4 linked regions of the Schizosaccharomyces pombe genome follow. The protein of the gene in region 4 binds, or shares a complex with, the protein of the main gene of each other region. Each region holds a gene or a part of one and is shown on either strand. Other genes may lie near its edges. The genes, in order: pdp3, mst2, tfg3 and nto1.

Region 1 (3,861 bases), on a different chromosome or scaffold from region 4:
GACGTCTTTCCAGTACCAGGAGAGCCATAAAACAACATGTGAGGTAAGTTATTAGATAAAAGTGTTTTTTTTAATACTTGTACAGTAGATTCTTGAGAGGAAACTTGGTCCAATGTCTTGGGACGACTACATACGTGTTAATGTTATTGTTCTTAAAAAGTATTCTCTATTTACATACTAAAGCTCAACCCAAGGTATTGATTTCTTTGCTTCCTGCTCCGTTTTCTTATTCCTTGGAGCAAAGAAAGACATTTTTTTTAAATTAGTATACACGAGATATCGCAAGTAAAAAAAAAAAACACTGACGGTACCTACTACGAAATGGTAGTAAGCAATGCTTGTTCTTGCTTACATACTAGGATAACGTATTGTAACGATTTGTACCATAAACACATTGAGTCGCGCTAATAATGCGTTCTATATTAATGAAAATGTTGGAAGCAAATATTATCGTAACATTAAATGTAAACAAGATTAGTTATGTAATTCGATAACAAAAGCATATGAATGTATGATCAAAAGTTAGGTAGTGATGACAGATGGTCTGGCAGCTTCTGTGTTCACTTGAGCATTCTTTCCAATGGGCGCTGTAGATACATTACTTGTCATGGTTTTGGGCTGAACGAATGCTTGGAATTGAAGGAGAAGAGTCGAAAATCGTGAAGAAAAGTCATATTTTTCATCCAACGGTATGTCGCTTAATTTAACAAGCAAAGTAAAAAGTGAATACAACTTGGTTGATTCTAATAGTTCAGAATTTATTGCGCTGAAATTCTCAATCATCTCCAATATTTGGTGCACATGAGACATATCCGATTCTTGAGGATAATGATTATATGACAGTAGGATTTCTTGTAGTTGGTAGCGGTAATATAAAAGAGTATTAAATCGAATATAATGAACTTGAGCATACATATCTACAGTACTTATAGGCTGAGCCAATTGATATTCAAGTGAAAATTTTGGTAATTCCTCTAAAGAACCGGCAAACCTTACTCTTTTTTTGGCTGTTTTCTTGGGAGAAGGAATTGGAGATGGGGATTTCTGAGCGTTGTCTGTAGCCATCCTAACTCGAGCTGACCTACGTGAAGGTCGTTGCTTCGATGTTTGAGAAATTTCTGCCGACGATTTCTCATTTTTTAACCTTTTACCCCCGTCAATTTTAGGTGTGGCTTCTATCTTTTCCTTTTTTGGTTTCTCGATGGGCTTTTGAAGTTTTTTACGAGTATTCTCTGGTTCAAACTCATCCTCTTCGACATCAGAAAAAGAAACTTTTCTCTTTACGGAAGCAATGATGAGACCTACCGTCTTTTGGATATACTTTGTCGATAAATCATGGTCCAAAATAAACCTTGATTCATCAACAGTTAAGGGCAAAACATTTGAAGAAGAAATAATAGCGTAATCTCTTGAAGGAAGAAACTGAACAAATATTCCATTGTCCATTCGAAAATTTCGTTTCAATCGTTCGCGTACCTCAGTGGGTATTGATTTTTGGCTCGCTACTCTGGCTGGCCACCATGGGAAGCTACTCATCTTTGCTAAAACATATTCCCCATTTTTATATGATTTCCTTGGTGACGTCCTCGGAACATACGCTAATTGTTTACCTTTCTTTTTAACATCACGCAGATTTTTCGTATTAGAAGTCTGTTGCCCGGTGGCCTTTTTTTTTGTTTTAATCTTCTTCTGGTTATTAATCTCTTCAAGCTTTCTTTTTTGACTGCGTGTCCTAGCAACCATCATCGTTAATTACATTCCTTATAAGCCAAACTTCACATTAAAGCGATATAGTGCTGAATTTTTCCAAAGAGATTTTACATCAATTTGTAAAGGTTCCACCAAATATTAGGATATACAAGTAGAAACCGTAAGACGCTTGTCTATTATCAATTAATTGCAGCAACGCTTACAAGATCTACAATAGCAGAGGGGGGGGGTGCTAAAAGCTTGAGCTGTTGCAATATGATACCTCGATATTTCAATATCATTCCTCATACTAATTTTTTCGATAGTATATATTTCTTTCGCAAATAAATCTTAATAAAGAGGGTTAAACTAAATAAGACACGTTAATCTTATCGTTATTCTACAAAACGAGTTACTGTATTGTACTTTAAAATATTGATAACGAAGCTTAGAATGCTTTGAGTATATTTAAATGAGTATAAGACGCGCAACATGAAAGCATTTCTTCGCCATCAACATGTCAACTGGTACGTATCCTTATAAAATGTTCAAAATGGATGTTACTAACCTAAATAAAGTAGAAGATGTGGAAATAGAAAGGCTTCGTGCTGAAAGAGAACTTTTGCGAAGACAAAAAGAGGCAGCGAAGAATTCGTCGACAAATGGAAGTGTAAATATTGAAGGTACCCAGGATTCTAATGATTTACAATATAATGCTCATCTTTTTAAGTCCAGTAACCCAAAAGAAGAATATGACTCCGCAATTGACGTGCGCAATGATATCTCTCAGGATGAAGACGATTATAAACGTACAAACGATGTTAATGATAGTTATCGTTTAGTGCGTCAATATGAAGCACCTAAGGAACTACTAAATGAATACGCTGATGAAAGTTATGACCCTATGCAAGAGAGACAGTCAAAAAAGCAAATTCAGGATCGCGAGTCAGATTATCAAAAGCAGCGTTATGATAGACAGCTTACTCCAACCCGCGTAGATGCTTTTCAACCTGATGGGACACAGAGCAATGGAAGATCTTATGCGGAGGTTATGCGGCAGGTTGAATTAGAAAAGGAAGAGCGACGAGTTCATATGGAATTAAATCAAAGACGTCGTGAAGGAACACTAAAAGAGGTGGAGGAGGAGGAAAGCATATCGGACAAAAAAAGAGAACTAGAGCTTAATAATACGGAAATATCTCAGAAGCCTAAACGCTCTCGTTGGGATCAGGCTCCACCTAGCGTTACGCAGGTTTCCACTACTAAGCGTAGATCACGTTGGGACAAAGCTCCTGAAAACTTCACTATATCTGAACATGTTATAGAAAACGGAATTTCTGAAGATCTTATTAATAAGGAAGTAAATGTAGTAGAAGAAAAATTACGACCTCCTGTCCGTTTATTAACTGAAGAAGAGTTAAATGAGCTTTTGCCGTCAGAAGGCTATGCTATTTTGGAGCCTCCTCCTGGATATTTAGAATCAATTCATCCTGAACTACTTCAAAAAGGTACTACGCTCGATACATATCACGTTCCACAAGAGCAAGAGCTTCCTTTAGAAAAAGAATTACCAGCTGCATTGCCTACAGAAATACCCGGTGTAGGTGATTTAGCTTTTTTTAAGCAAGAAGATGTTAAATATTTTGGCAAGTTACTCAAGGTGGAGGACGAGGCCAAGCTTACAATTGCGGAACTTCGTGAACGTAAAATTTTGAGATTACTTCTGAAAGTAAAAAATGGTACTCCTCCCATGCGTAAGAGTGCATTACGCCAGCTTACGGATCAAGCTCGCGACTTTGGTGCAGCTGCTTTATTTAATCAGATTCTTCCGTTGTTAATGGAACGAACACTGGAAGATCAGGAGCGCCATCTTTTAGTTAAGGTTATTGATCGTATATTATACAAATTGGATGATCTGGTTCGCCCTTTTACTCATAAAATTCTCGTAGTTATTGAACCCCTTCTTATTGATGAAGATTACTATGCACGTGCTGAAGGTCGGGAAATCATTAGTAACTTAGCTAAAGCTTCCGGCTTGGCTCATATGATTGCTACAATGAGACCTGACATTGATCATGTCGACGAATATGTCCGAAACACCACAGCCCGTGCCTTTTCGGTTGTTGCCTCTGCACTAGGCGTGCCGGCTCTTTTACCTTTTTTAAAAGCTGT
Region 2 (5,884 bases), on a different chromosome or scaffold from region 4:
TCCTGCGTAGTACTAATACTTAACTATAGCTAACCATTTTAAACGTTGCTGGTTATGCAATTAGAATTACACTATGGCTATCAATGTGTTTCCTGTTTCAATAATTTGGATTTTTTAAGCTCGTCGAATAAACAAAGCTGCCATAAAGTACAGCGAAGTCATCAACAAAAAAGTTATGGATTATTGTACTTTTCATGCACAGCAAAAATATTTAAAGATGTTTAAATATATATAAATATTATGAACGTAGACAATGCTTGCAAGTTTAAATAAACTTTAAAAAATCGACTTCTATAGCATTTGCCTACATATGTCACTTGTTTACGTTTTGACATTTCTCCTTATTAACCCACCATTCCACCACAATTGTAAAAATTATTATCAAATTTATATATTTCTTTACCGCTAGAATTCAATTTTACAAGAAAATTTTATCCCTTGCTTATAAAGACTCTGTGAATTAAAAAAAAGTCTCGTTTCCTTAGAAAATTTGTTTTTCCGTTGAATAAGGCGCTTTCAGTATTACTTGCCATTGGAAAGTGGTAGAATGTTTAATTAATGGTTTTTTTTTTGTTAATATTTATCTATTTAACCCAATTTTTTTCATTTAATACACCACTTCAGACGAATGGCTTCTAACCCTAATGCCGTTGAACAAGAAATTCTACAAGCTGTCAATTCGGCTCAAACTACCGATAAACGGAAAGCTCATGAGCAATCATTAGCATATCTTCCGGTGGAGGAAGAAAGAGGAGTTAATGTTGTTGGCTCAAAGATGAAACCCCGCTACATTGCTTTGACTTGTGATGATGTGACTCGTATTTTTTATATACACAGATTGAAAGTAAATGATAAAGGCGGAATGACAGTCGTGAAATCCTGGCCTTTATTTGAGTTGCAGAATATTACTGTAATTAATGATCATGATGTTACTATGACAATAAACAAGCCACATTTGTTGCGAACTCAGGACACTTCTGCTCGCGATCGATTTGTTTTTTCTGTTGCTAAAAATTATATGTACTATATGGGCAGGCCGCTTTCAGTGACTACGACTGATGGCCGCAAAGTGGACTGGGCCTATCGTAATTCCTTTGCTGATAACAAACCTAATCTCTATCCTGCAAAGAGCCTAGCTATTCCTAAAGCAAGGTCATCATTACCTGAAAATTCTTCAGAACAAGTTTCCTCATCTTTTAACTCTCGAGTCGCACATAACCGTAATTTTTCGGACGGCCCAATTGTTACCAATTTAGAAACGGATCAGCCTCGCATCGAGAAGAAGCTCACTATTGATTCTTCTCGATCAGCCAAAAAGAAGTTGAGTGTTGAAAAAGAAAGACGGTTTTCTGACAATAAGCCTTCTTCCAACGTTTCCCGGGGGACCCCATCATCTGCCCATAGTGATGTTATAGAAATTTCAAGTTCTTCTGCCATTGCAAGGACTTCAGGAGACCGAAAAGATGATGTCTTATTCGATACTTCAACTCAAAGACGAGATAATCAAACACGGGAAATGTTTATTCAAGAACAAGCTCAATTGTTTCCATCTAAACCTTCTTTACGTAAAACTACTCGTCGTGAACAAGCACCCTCATTTAACAGTGGAACGAGTTCTTCGGAAAGGGGTAAGAATAGCATCAGTGGTTCTTACGAGAAAAATACAGCTTTGGCACTAGAAGCTGGTAAGTATAATATGTCTCAAAAAGACGTGAAACTAAGCTCTTCTTTGGAGTCAAACACATTTGCTAGCGATTTTAGTAAAGTGGATCGTGATGCTACCCAGGCAGCTTTATCTTCTAGCTTAGAAACTCCTTCAGTATTAACGTCATCTTACAAGCCTTCCAGTTCGTCTAAAGTATCAGCAAAGTCTGTTTCTCGAAAACCAACAGGAGCACCGGCTATTCCTAAATTACCTCCAAAGCACCCGTCCCGTCAGCCAACTGTTCGGGCAACTCCTTCGACTGGTAAACAAATCGAACCACCAAACGACGAGCCTTCTATAGGAAATGAACTTCTTCCCCTTTTTGAAAGTTTGCGCTTTGAAAATAGAAAAACCACTTCCAAGCCAAAAGCCAAGAAAACTCTTGTTACTTCCATTCCGACTAAACCGCACCAAGCTTCTGTTGAAAAAGTTTACGATCTTAACTCAAAAATCAACCTCAAAAACATTCCGGAGCAAAGCATTTCTCGTCTTTCCACTTTGAAGTGGAATGAAGGTACAACTATAAAAGATGTATTGAAACAAACAGAATTTTCGTTTGATGGAGCTATCATAAGCAGTGTGGAAAACCTTGCTGAAGAAGAAATCGAATTGCAAAACATTAAGAGCCAACTTCAAGATTGTGCTTTAGGTTGTGAGTCTATCAATTCAACCATCAACTTATTTTCCCTAGAGTTGTCTACTGCATTAAATGGCGTCATTAATATAGAGCAACAACCAAGCCGTAGATGATACAAATGCTTCACGACAAATATCGAAAGATTAAAATACTTATTTATTTGAACTAAACGGAATCCAGATGATGAGAGTTATCTAATAGACGCTTTTGAGGTAGAGGAATAAGTATATTTTCTTTAAGTAAAAGGTTAGATATCTGCTCTTCTCCGAGATATGGCGTCCATCTTAGAAGTTTTGGATTTACTCTTTGAGGGTGTTTGATATTCCAAGCTTTATAAACATTCTCAAGTTCATCCCGTTTCAGTTGTAATACATATTTCTTTTTGAGCGGATCATACTTAAATACAGATAACGATTCCAATGTGGATATAACATCGTCGCATACCATAGATGTTGATTTGGCGATAGCATTTATGCTAATCGGTGTTGTGATTTCCAATAGAGCTTTGGCTACTCTCATTTTCCAATAGCTTCGGTACGTAACGAGGCCTAAATCTGAAAGTGGCTTTTCAGGTGATCCAAGCTTACCTTCTACCTGTGTAAGTAAATAACTAAAATCAATCAAAAAGACACCATATCCTCGGCGTTGGTAAATGGGTAATGTTAATATACAGGAAACGTTATAATCAGAAGCCGAGCGTTTCTCTTTACTGAAATATCCAATAACTTTGCATTCTTGGCCATCAAATTCAGTCAATACATAGAAAAGAAACGGTTCAACGTCATAGTACAGCATTTTTGAATGAAGAAACATCTTTGCTAGAAGACATAAATTTTGACAATATATCTAAGGAAAAACATCAATAAGTATAAAATGCATAAAAAATTACTTACCGGTTGCCGTTGACCATCAACTTCAAAAATTGATATATTCTTATCCCGATATATTTCATCTCCTGGTGGATAACTCCATGAGCATTTCATCTGATTATGTTAGTCCGTAAATTCAATTTGGATAGATTATGATCTTTTAATGTACACCTCGTTTAAACTCAAGCAATAGCGAATAACATTATGATCTTACTTGAAAAGTTGTTTACCTTGTGCCTTTGTAGTACATGATCACTGTTCATATACTTTAAACAAGATTCGCATATATATAAATTTTTTGCACAGCTATACTCCTCTGGATACGGTGATGTATACCATGGTTTTATCCGGTAAGTACCAAAATAGAGGTATCGAATGGAGGTTGGTTGTGGTGGAGGCGTTCGCAACTGTGTAGATAAAATAGGATCGGAAAATGAATAAGCCACATCCTTTGTCCTATCTGCTACTGTCTTTGCTTTTTCAAACAGCCTCACATCGTCTTGGTTGAGTCTCGTAATCGATGTGTCAGCTTGCCCTTTAGTTAATAGACCCAAAAAAGTACTTTCCGAATTTAACTCTAATAAATGTTTCTTATAAAATGGATATCTGGAGGAGTTTGTATCAAACTTTATTATTAACAAAGTCTTTGAACTGGCTGTGGATTTCAAAATAGTCGCCGGCATTATACATAAAAAAAAAAGATTGTTTATATTTACAGATCGTTCATAGTTTTCCTAATGGCCCCATTTAATCCTTTGGTCAATATAATTGAGTTGGTGGTAGTGCCCTCATTCTCTTCTTAGTTCTTGCTTTACTTCCACCTCCATCCGATCTCTGCAAAGATAACCCTTTCACTCTTGTTAAATAAAAAACTACTCATATTTTTTACTTTTGTATTCTGAAACAGTAACCATTCATAACTTCACTGTTAGCTTTTTGATTGAATGCCATTACAAACGTTGCGTATAAATACTACAAAGTCACCTTGGGTGATTCAACGATAAGTTTTACATTAGTAGTTTTAATGCCACTTTAATTATTCTCTAATTTCGACTTTATTTTCAAGTAATGTAATGATGATAAATGCAGAAATTTTTTAAATATGAACACGTAGAAAAGTAAAAAAAATATCATGTAAAGGGTGAGTACACTAAATTAAGTGTAAGAATGCAAAGGAAGCAGCATCAGAACTATATGAAATTGTTACCATAATTTTCTAATTTTAAAAAAGCAGAAGCAAAGGACAAGCTAATTCTATTCAGTAGCAAAACTGGAAAATCCTCTGAAACACTCTTGTTGTTGTCGTGTGAGAACAGTATTGACAGGTGTCAAAGTTGGACATGCACCTAATCGATCGTTAGTAATTAACCATATTTTAACAATTGTCATACTTGTAAATTCTTCATCAAAATTATTGAGGTCTCGGGGATCGTTGATAAGCGGTTTATATGATGGTTCATAAAGTTTGTTATACAAGTCATCCCAGACAATACTAGCAAAGAAAGGATGAGCCATAACCTCGTTTGCGTCTTTTGGTCCACTACCAAGTCGTTGATTTGGATCTCTTGTTAAAAGCTATTTTTTGAATTAGTTAACATATTTAGAAATTTGCATACCCCTCTCAATAACGAAACCGCATCCGCTGGCATATTAATCGGAAACAACGGTTCATCGCTTAAAATCGCATCGAATATTTCCTCTTCATCTTCACCTTTGAAAGGGGATTGACCCAGTAACATTTGATACATCAAAACGCCAAAAGCCCACCAATCAACATCCTTGGAATATTGCTGTTCTAATAAAATCTATTTTCGTTAGATAAAATAAACCAAAACAAGTTCCGCCTTACTTCTGGAGCCATGAATTCGGGGGTACCACAAAAGGTGGAAGTTGTATTGCCAAGCAACATATTTTCTTTGCAGAGTCCATAATCAGCAATTCGTATATGACCATCAGGACAAAGTAGAATATTATCCAATTTCAAATCACGGTAAGCAATTCCATTCTCATGAAAATACTTCAATGCTAAACAAACCTCAGCACCATAAAATCTATGGGGTTAATAAAAAATAAAAATAAAAATAAAAATAAAGATTGAAGTACTACCTTGCACGTTTCACGCTAAACTGTTGACGTTGAATATGAACCATAAGGTCACCACCAAGAATATATTCCATAACGAAGTAAACCCTGGTACTAGTTTGAAAGCTTGCAAAAAGATTCAGCAAGAACGGATGTTTTTCTTTATTCGCGACTTCGAAAACATGCTTTTCAGTTTTTAAACTCTCTAGTTCCTCATTCTTTAAAATGGCTTCTTTTTTCAGAACTTTGATGGCATAAAACTTTTTATTCACTTTATATTCAGCCAACATAACCTTGCCAAAATTGCCTTTCCCTAATACAGCCAAAAATGTGAAGTCGTCAAGCGTAACACGATTCTTTTTCTCTCTGCGTGGACTTTCTGGAACACTTCTATTAGCATCCTTGGAAGACGATAAGCTAGCACTGGAAGGTGGAGCAAGAACAGAAGCTGGAGTAGGAGTAGAAGAGGAAGGAGTAACATTTAAAGATCGATCTTTCTCAGGGGTTTTTGGAAGTGGAGACGTATTAAGTACACTTGTAACTGGCTGAGTAGCAGCAAGTAAGCCCTGAGATATCGTTGGTAATGTATCA
Region 3 (3,671 bases), on a different chromosome or scaffold from region 4:
CCAAAGCCATGGCGGAATAGCTGAGAGGAGCTACACAGGGAGAATCTCCATGACACCTCTGATCAATAGCGTAAATATCCCGGTCAAGTTTGCAGGAAAACTTTTTTGCCAAACTTCTCCAATTACGCTTAGATCCCAATAGTCCGTGGAAGATCAAAACTGGGGGGTGTTTAGCAACTGTGGCAGAATACTTCTCAAAGGCTAATTTAACTGGTTTTAGAGACATAACTCTATAATTTCTTGTGCAGTAATAAATAAACACTATAAGGTCGATATAAAATAATTATAATTTAATCTGTCATGAAGTTGTAGTTGCAGGAAACGTTTGCGAATAGCAAAGTGAGCCTAATCCAAGGAATGATAAATAACTACTTATCGGCAGTGTGATCATAATCTGAATTGCTGATTATGAAAGCTAAAAAGGTCGGTTTTAAAATATTATGTAAGTAAAAACAAAAATAATTATATTAATCTAACCAAATATTCTTTTTCGAGACAAAAGCTACACCATAGTACCAAAATACAAATGTTTGTATCGCTGTTTAAGCGCAAGTTAAACTCAAAAAATAGTGAAAAGGAATGAAATTTCTTATTTAAATTATGATACAAGAACTCATTAAGCAGTCTTCAGGAAAAAAGTAGAATGGGGAAACTAACGCTTCTCCCTTAAAGTAGGCTGCACAAAACTGCAATGCTCTTAATTACATAGTGACGCGTTTAGCACAGAAACTGTATAATAAGAGCAGAAGATTGTCCGGCAGAGTATATAAGTCAATATGGAATTCACCCCCTTCAATGTCGTTTCGGACATACATGTCTGGTGTTTTGTTCTCATTCACCATCTGCACAACTTGTAACAAGTCATCCTCCTGAAGTTTTTGCAAACCCTCTGCAAGTTTATCCATGTCAACAGGTTTAGCTTTCGCCTTTTTCTTCCCAGCACCAACTTCTGATTCGTTTTTTCTTTTATCCTTACGAGCTTCTTCACCTTCATCACTGTAGCCAGGTACTTCTCCAGTGGCTGTCAGTGCCTTTAATAAACCTGGCCTAGTAGCATTGATATTCTAAGACTCAGTTAGCACCATAAAATCAGAGTCTAGTAAATGTTAAAATACTTAAAACACATACCAATTCGATATCCTCATGATAATGCTCCTGCTGAAAATGTAAATAGTGAAGGAACCGATGTTCACCACCTTTGTCCGCATAGTATATTATGATCTCCATTTCAAACTCACCCCATCCTTGCTCTTTTATTTGGAAAGGAGGTTTTCTGATAGCTAAAAAAATTAGTTAACGTTATTCTGCTAATCTTCCTTTCATCACATAATACATACTGCGTGTAGGATTTTGAAATGTTGGATGTAGCTTATAGGTGACACGATCAACAAAGGAAGCGTCAGTTTCTTCTCCCTGAGGATTTAAGCAGACCAATTTTATAGACCATTCCCTCACAGGGAAGCTTTGATCGTTCAACACAGCTGCTTCACCTCCCGGCAACACATTCTAAATATTGTAAGTTCAAAGTTCATCAAGATACTTGCAAGAAAAAGTTTTGTTTTTTATTGTTCTTCTAAATTCAATTGTACGAGCATCCTGTATAATGCCAAAGTTTTTTGTAATTGCACCTAACCTTGACCATTGGGTCAAATAACGCGCCTCGGTCGTAGCAAATGAATCAGATGGCTTTCATACCTGATCAGTAATTAATCTCACAGTTCTTTTCACAGTTGTCATATTCTTAAATCAATGTATATGAGGACGAAAAATATATGGATAGAAGACGCTTAGCGAGTCGTGAGAAGAGATATCGGGCTAACGATTCTATAACTTTTGCGGTATTCTTAAAATTGAAAAGATAAAAAATCTTGCCAATGTACGAATTGAAATAGAAGCACCAGTAATTTGTGTTCAGAAATATTGAGCACTACTACTTTTAAGGACTTCTAAAAGTCGGTTAACTCAAGGATAAAGCAAATGACTTTGGTTTAATAACAAATATCTCTTTTGTTAAAATTTATTAGCAGATTACAGGGAAGTAACTGCTAAAACTGTGAGACTATAAAACGTTTGAATAGTGGAATATGACTTTTGGGTTCGTCACGGCCCAAATTCCTGGAAAGTACAAGTAGACTTACAAACTGACAGTGAAGGTATGGTACTGCAGTGTAATATACTAAAAACTTTAATGCACAGTCAGTTTAATTTTAAAGCATAATAACGAAACTTTTGGATGCGATGAATTTTACTCGAACTATATAGTAAACAAACCCTCGAGCACCATGTTAATATAAGGCATTGGGTATATTATTTTTATGCAGAGGTAAGAGTTTATCCCGATTCCCAAGTTAGCTTATTCATAAATTGGATCTAGGCTTTAGCTGAAAGAACTTTGAACTATTGGATTCTTTTCCAGCGATGGATTAATCTGGCAACTTCTTTAGAACATTTGAGAATAACAAAAAATACCGCAGCAAAAGAACTTTGTTGCTAATACGAGAATAGTGAAAGTTGTTTAATATTTTAAAAAATTGATTGTGTCAGTAATCGATCCTCGTTATCCAGAAGCCGTGTCAGTTACGTATATAAATGGAGTGGTAGCATATGCGTTGTTCACATTGTCAATTACACCCGGCAGCTTAAGCTTTGATTTAATTTCACTTTAGTACACAGTGAAACATGACTAACGAAAGACATGATGAATTAGCATGCTTAGGCATATTCCCTTTGAAAAATCCCAAACAACTAGATGGTGTTGTTACCCCTATCTTGCAGTTGAGAGTCAAGTTTTTAGCACCCACGGATCGATGGTGGGAAGGATTAGTTATAAATAAGGACCTCAGCAAAGAGGAGTCAGAAGAGTTATGGAAATTTTTGCAAAGCTTTGACCCTCGTTCTGCCAAGTTTGTTGGTCGCGGGACACCTGAAGACCATGTGATATCGTATTTATTTGAAGCAGGGAAGTATGAATTTGAGGTATTTTTTTACCAAAAGGATCATTCTCTGAAACTTATGGGCCTCTATGATAAAACCCAAAAACAATTGTTGAGACGCGATTCTAGTGGTGACTTAACATCCACTGACAAGGAGCGGGATGTTTCTCCTGTTTCACACAGCGAAAAGCCTTACTGGGATCGTTATGATCTTGACCAACCTTCCAATCAAGATGTAGAAGAATCTAGAAACCTTGTCCAAGAACCTAAGCATCGATCGAAGAAATATGATCGTCTTGGTTTGGATGAGCTAGTAATGGAACAAACTGCTAGTCTTTGGAAAATCTGCTCCAGAAATGGCATGAGTGTCGATGAATTTCTACGCTTCATTCGCATGGGTTTGGAATCTAATTTCCAACATTCAAACCAAGTGATTCCAACGCATTTTTAACGATATTATATCATTCATATTCAATCGACACAAATGTTTAGCAACCGTTTAGTGTCTTTTACCCAAGAAATATCTAAACACTTTTTTTATTTTTATAAAATATTTGTAAATTAAAAAAAGATGATTAAAACGATAAATGCTTAATTAGGTATTTGTTGAAACACATTTCATTTTATGATAAAGAACGTTCCTAGTATCAGCATTATTTATTTAGATGTAAATTGGGAATTGAACCTAATTACACCTTTTATGTATACATTCTTCTTCACTTTCTAGCGGATTTCCAA
Region 4 (4,566 bases):
TCTATTAATTTGTTAGTTACAGTTTGGCTGCTAAAATACTATTATCTTCGCATCACCTGAAGTGAAATCGAAGAAAACATGATCATTATAATCATACTCTAGGAAATCCAACTAATGGAGATGATTTTACTAATGCTTCTCTTAATTTTGGATAAATACTTGGTCCCACATGCTCCATTGCTTCCTTAGCTATCCCACTTATTTTATCCGGTCGGTTGCAAGCTGAATAAGCTACAACAGATACAATATACAAATGTGTAGGCTCTAATAAACCATTAAATCTTTGAAGCATAGTGTTATGGGTCATTTGTTAACTCTTGATTAATAATGTAACAACGACTGATAGTGTGTGTAACGTAATATGTTAGTACAGTCGGTAACTTAGTAGAAATACCAAATAGAAACGCTTTAAAGGAGCAGCAGATTATATATAAACCGAGAATGATTACTAATAGACTACACACTAAGCTAGTCTAGCAATATCTTTGTTGGGTACGAGCGTGAGTGTATTTGATGACTATTTCACTGCGTGAAAATTTAAGAAAAATTGCTTTTGAAAAATATTAATAAATTAACTATTCGGAACTAAAATGTACAATTAACGGTTTTAGATATTATAAAGTTTCGATATCAATAATTGGTCATAGGTACTAAAGCAACGATGAACTAACTTAACAATAATTTCAGTATCATGAATAGTTTTTCTTGGCTTTAGATCTTGTGATGCGTTCATTAAAGGGAAGCGAATTTTTGGTATATGGTTGCTTGGTGCCATTTTTTTTAGTTACACTGTTTGGTAAAGCATGATTGCTTTGTCCTGTAACATCTTCTGAATGGAAGTTATGCATTCCGTTAGCACGTCCAGACATCTTAGGAATTTCAATTGTCGAAAACTGAGCAACCTGATTTTGGAACATAGAAATGGGAAATTTCCCTATTTTTTCATTCAAATCTAAACCCTCAATAAAATCATGTAAGGACTTAAGATTTCCCTGTGAAGGAATATCCAGTTGACTCATTTCAAGCTCGTTTAAACCGGGCCAGTTATCATACTCAAGTCCGTTAATACCGAGAGAGGGTACTTTGAGATTCCCTCTTTCATCAAGACTCAAACTTTCAAAGTATATTTTTGCCTTAATAAATAGTTTTTTCACTTCTCCTTCTGTTTTTTGTGCAAACTGAACCATGGCAGTTAATTGTTCCATATCATCAATACACTGTATTACACCATCAACATCCCAAATAGGCTCAAGTTTCTTTTCTAGAGAGCTAATACTGCCGATCTGATAACTGAATACTTGTCTTTTTAATTCAACCCACCCAATCCATCCATTATCGAGCGGCATATTGAAAAGACCATCGACATCGAGATCTATAATTTTAACAAGGGTATCCTGTAATAACCGTTGAGCAGGAAAATAGTTTAAATTCAAAAATTTTTTTCTTAAGTTTGATAATTGACATTTTAATAATTGCCGTTTAGCAGTAGATTCTACAAGAGTAAGCAATGATTGATATTGATCTTGTAGAGCCTTCGCTACTTCTAAAGACCTAACGCGATCTTTAGAAGCCCTCACCGGGAGATTTTCAAGACTATCCATAAGGAGTTGCGATTTAAGCAATGGCGCATCCTTTCGGGATCGGCGTTTCATGTGATAAAATTTGCAGATGTCAGTTACTATGGAGGGCAGATCTTGCCTTTTAACATTATAAGACAATAAAACTTTGGTAACTTTATCAACAATAAAAGCCGGTAATGGATGCGATTTCCATGGCCCTTCGGGCACAAAATCAGGCGCTTTAGTAGCTTGGAAGTTGAGTGGAACGTCTGTAGCCATGCGTTTGTAATATAATTCAGCTAACGGAAACAAGCGCTTCATCAATCCGTTTAAATAATCGGGTGGAGTATGTTTATCACAATAAGTTTCCATATCAACACTATCATAACTTGCAGAATGTGAGTATATTTTGTAAAAAAAACCTGCACGTCGAGCACAAGTTATATGGTAAGCTGCATAACAATTTTTATCTGAGCATTGCACACAAGTACCCCATCGAAGTTTACAAATGCAACACACCAATTTCCAGCGAGACTTTGGGATTGAAGCAATGTTTCGAACCAAGTCTAATCTACTAGTGTCGTGAAAAGATATTTCAGGGATTGCTATGGCGCAAATTGTGTGGCACCAACGTCCATCCAAGGTTGTGCAAAACGCACCATCTCTGTCAGGACAAAAAGCACAGCATATAACTTCATGAGGGGCTAGTAAACATTTCTTACAAAACCATTGACCCTCTGGAACAAAAGGGATTCCATAACAATTCTGGTGAACAGAAGTGTTACAGTTATCGCAAAAAACTATAGCATTACTGTTTTCGCATTCTGCTTCATTACAAATAACACAACGACCATCTAGTTCATCCTCCACTCTGACGGGTTCAATCTTAGGCATCCAAGCCTCTAGATAAAGCCATTCGCGTTCAATAATGGTAAGAACTATTTCTAAAAATTCTTTAGAAACATTTTCCCACTCTGAATTAGATGAAAGTTGAAACTCATTATAATATGTTAACCACATTGTGTCTAACTCATCCAAGTCGTAGGATACAGGAAAGGACGTTTTTGAGTAAGGATGTATAGCAACGAACTTGAAATATTCGTCTGGACTCCAATCTAATTGTTTCGCAGTTTTATATCCAAATTTTTTCTCTTGTGGATTAATATTTTCCGTTTGAACACCTACTGGCTTTACGTTTTCGATCTTGGCATTGAGCAAAGCTTTAAGCACATAAGAATTCTCGGATTTATAGGTTACTAAAGAATCACGAAGGCCTGCATATTGTGTATGGTCACCTTCTAATATTTCCAAAGGTTCGTCTATTTGTAGGTCTGGATGGAAAGATTTATAGGGAATCTCTTCTCTCGGCTGAAAAGCAAGTTCATCGGGTCTTAGAATATTTCGACCAGTAGAAGTAAGTCGGAAGGTTTGCATGAAAGCCTTTTACAAGATAGATTTACCATACTATCTTTTTTACATTTCTTTCATGGTGTAACTATATTTACGAGAAAAAGGTGCAATTTTGCTTAAACTTCAATAGTGCATTCTGCCGCTGATGATTAAGCAGAATAAGCGGGGGTAACGTGAATGACCGAAATAAAAAGATGATTGTAAACAGTTGAACTCTGAAATGAAAATAGTTTGGACATAGGAAGGGGTAAATTTATTCTTCCCGTTCTTTCTCTTTTTATATTTATTGGTGTTGTTTTCAAAGAAAACCAGAGGAAATTGGAAAGCGTGATTTTGCATTTTACGGAAATGTAAGAGTTACAATTATATACAGTTGATGTGAAAGTACAAAGATTTTCGAGATGCTTGATAAAAAGCCCTTTCAAGAATCTTTGTGAATAGTTTATAAGCTAATATTTTTGTACCCGCCATCAACGAATACTTCACTTAGTTTATTCTTCTAGAAGTCTAACATTTACACCAATCACAATTAAATTGCTTCATCAAAATGGGCCTCTAGAGTTTACCTAGCGTCGAAGAGATTGAGGACTTAGCGTTTTTTAACAAAAAAATCTTTCGGAATACATAGGGTTATGACCTCTTTATTATAATACTTTGACAAACTATATTCGCTAAATCTTTCTTCCTTTATTCAAGCTTTGAGTAAAAGTAATGCGAGTTTCTGCTACTTTTCAAGGATAACACTTTAAATTTTAGATTGGCTCGGAAAATATTTCGCTCAAACCACACTTCTTTCACTGGTAAGGTCTCAACGTTTATATAAGTTTGTTGCCAATTGTAAATAAGAGTTTAGACAATGCTACAAGTATAAAACAATGCATAAGCCCTGATGAGGAACTCAAGCGAGTATCGACTCAACGGCAATAAAGATTATTTTAAGAACTAACTAGTTTTATCACCAAATACATCAAACAAAGAATGGACTTGGTGATTAGCGTAGAAACAGATCTACGGCTAAAATTCCAAAACTATAACGGTACTAATATTTCTTGGATGTACATTGTGTAACGATAGTAATTAGTAGCGGCAACAGAAAAATCTGACTACTATCCCATAAACGTTCAAATAAAAGCAAAAATAGAGCTTTCCTCTGTTCTAAACTGAACTGGTATTTTTTAAACAAACATGATAGATTAACGAGTATGTTAGCACTTCACACTAGGCGATCTATTCAAATTTAGTCATATTATCGTATTCGGTAAACCACTAATTTCTTTGCACAAAAAGTGATGCTTATTCAAGTCAAACCTAAGAAAGATATGAACAACTAACTATATATATATGCATGTGCTAACATTTTTTTTTGCAAAATCAAGAATTAAGTACCTCTTGTTTAGTGGCTTATATAAAACTGCGAGGTAGCTCGCTATTCGTGTAATAAAATTTTACTACGACAAGGGGGAAGTTTTCAACTGCACAACATGGCACCTCCTCAAGGAAAGCCCGAAAATGTGCTAAGGGTATGTATTATGAGTTTTTTACTTACTTTGACTAACATAAATTAGCTTGCCGATGAGCTGATAGCTCTAGATCAGCA

The links.
Region 1: nto1 (region 4) and pdp3 share a complex: the UniProt entries of both Schizosaccharomyces pombe proteins name them as parts of the mst2 complex.
Region 2: nto1 (region 4) and mst2 share a complex: the UniProt entries of both Schizosaccharomyces pombe proteins name them as parts of the mst2 complex.
Region 3: nto1 (region 4) and tfg3 share a complex: the UniProt entries of both Schizosaccharomyces pombe proteins name them as parts of the mst2 complex.

What each region holds. Positions count from the first base shown.
Region 1 is NC_003424.3:4,335,133-4,338,993, reverse strand, and holds pdp3 (PWWP domain-containing protein), read right to left. Parts: upstream 1,914-3,861; 5' UTR 1,747-1,913; coding exon 523-1,746; downstream 1-522. Other genes in the region: DNA replication factor C complex subunit Rfc2, read right to left, coding at 1-126, 179-252; prp10 (U2 snRNP-associated protein SF3B1), read left to right, coding at 2,207-2,216, 2,268-2,372, 2,439-3,861. UniProt on the Schizosaccharomyces pombe protein: Component of the mst2 complex which is a highly specific H3 lysine 14 (H3K14) acetyltransferase that functions together with gcn5 to regulate global levels of H3K14 acetylation (H3K14ac), critical for DNA damage checkpoint activation.
Region 2 is NC_003424.3:2,362,940-2,368,823, forward strand, and holds mst2 (histone acetyltransferase Mst2), read right to left. Parts: upstream 3,996-5,884; 5' UTR 3,895-3,995; coding exon 3,442-3,894; exon of another isoform or gene 3,326-3,441; coding exon 3,236-3,325; exon of another isoform or gene 3,189-3,235; coding exon 2,508-3,188; 3' UTR 2,456-2,507; coding exon of another isoform or gene 629-2,455; 3' UTR 560-628; downstream 1-559. Other genes in the region: exocyst complex subunit Sec3, read left to right, coding at 629-2,455; protein kinase C (PKC)-like Pck1, read right to left, coding at 4,466-4,557, 4,603-4,786, 4,828-5,016, 5,061-5,262, 5,318-5,884. UniProt on the Schizosaccharomyces pombe protein: Component of the mst2 complex which is a highly specific H3 lysine 14 (H3K14) acetyltransferase that functions together with gcn5 to regulate global levels of H3K14 acetylation (H3K14ac), critical for DNA damage checkpoint activation.
Region 3 is NC_003424.3:893,432-897,102, reverse strand, and holds tfg3 (TFIID, TFIIF, Ino80, SWI/SNF, and NuA4 complex YEATS family subunit Tfg3), read right to left. Parts: upstream 2,105-3,671; 5' UTR 1,738-2,104; coding exon 1,696-1,737; exon of another isoform or gene 1,507-1,695; coding exon 1,338-1,506; exon of another isoform or gene 1,281-1,337; coding exon 1,129-1,280; exon of another isoform or gene 1,065-1,128; coding exon 702-1,064; 3' UTR 556-701; downstream 1-555. Other genes in the region: SPOM_SPAC22H12.03 (hydrolase), read right to left, coding at 1-226; protein mug35, read left to right, coding at 2,680-3,384. UniProt on the Schizosaccharomyces pombe protein: Functions as a component of the DNA-binding general transcription factor complex TFIID, and the RNA polymerase II associated general transcription factor complex TFIIF.
Region 4 is NC_003423.3:3,309,888-3,314,453, forward strand, and holds nto1 (histone acetyltransferase complex subunit Nto1), read right to left. Parts: upstream 3,023-4,566; 5' UTR 2,994-3,022; coding exon 690-2,993; 3' UTR 548-689; downstream 1-547. Other genes in the region: carboxymuconolactone decarboxylase-like protein, Pxp2, read right to left, coding at 1-1, 98-307; tif301 (translation initiation factor eIF3a), read left to right, coding at 4,451-4,489, 4,535-4,566. UniProt on the Schizosaccharomyces pombe protein: Component of the mst2 complex which is a highly specific H3 lysine 14 (H3K14) acetyltransferase that functions together with gcn5 to regulate global levels of H3K14 acetylation (H3K14ac), critical for DNA damage checkpoint activation.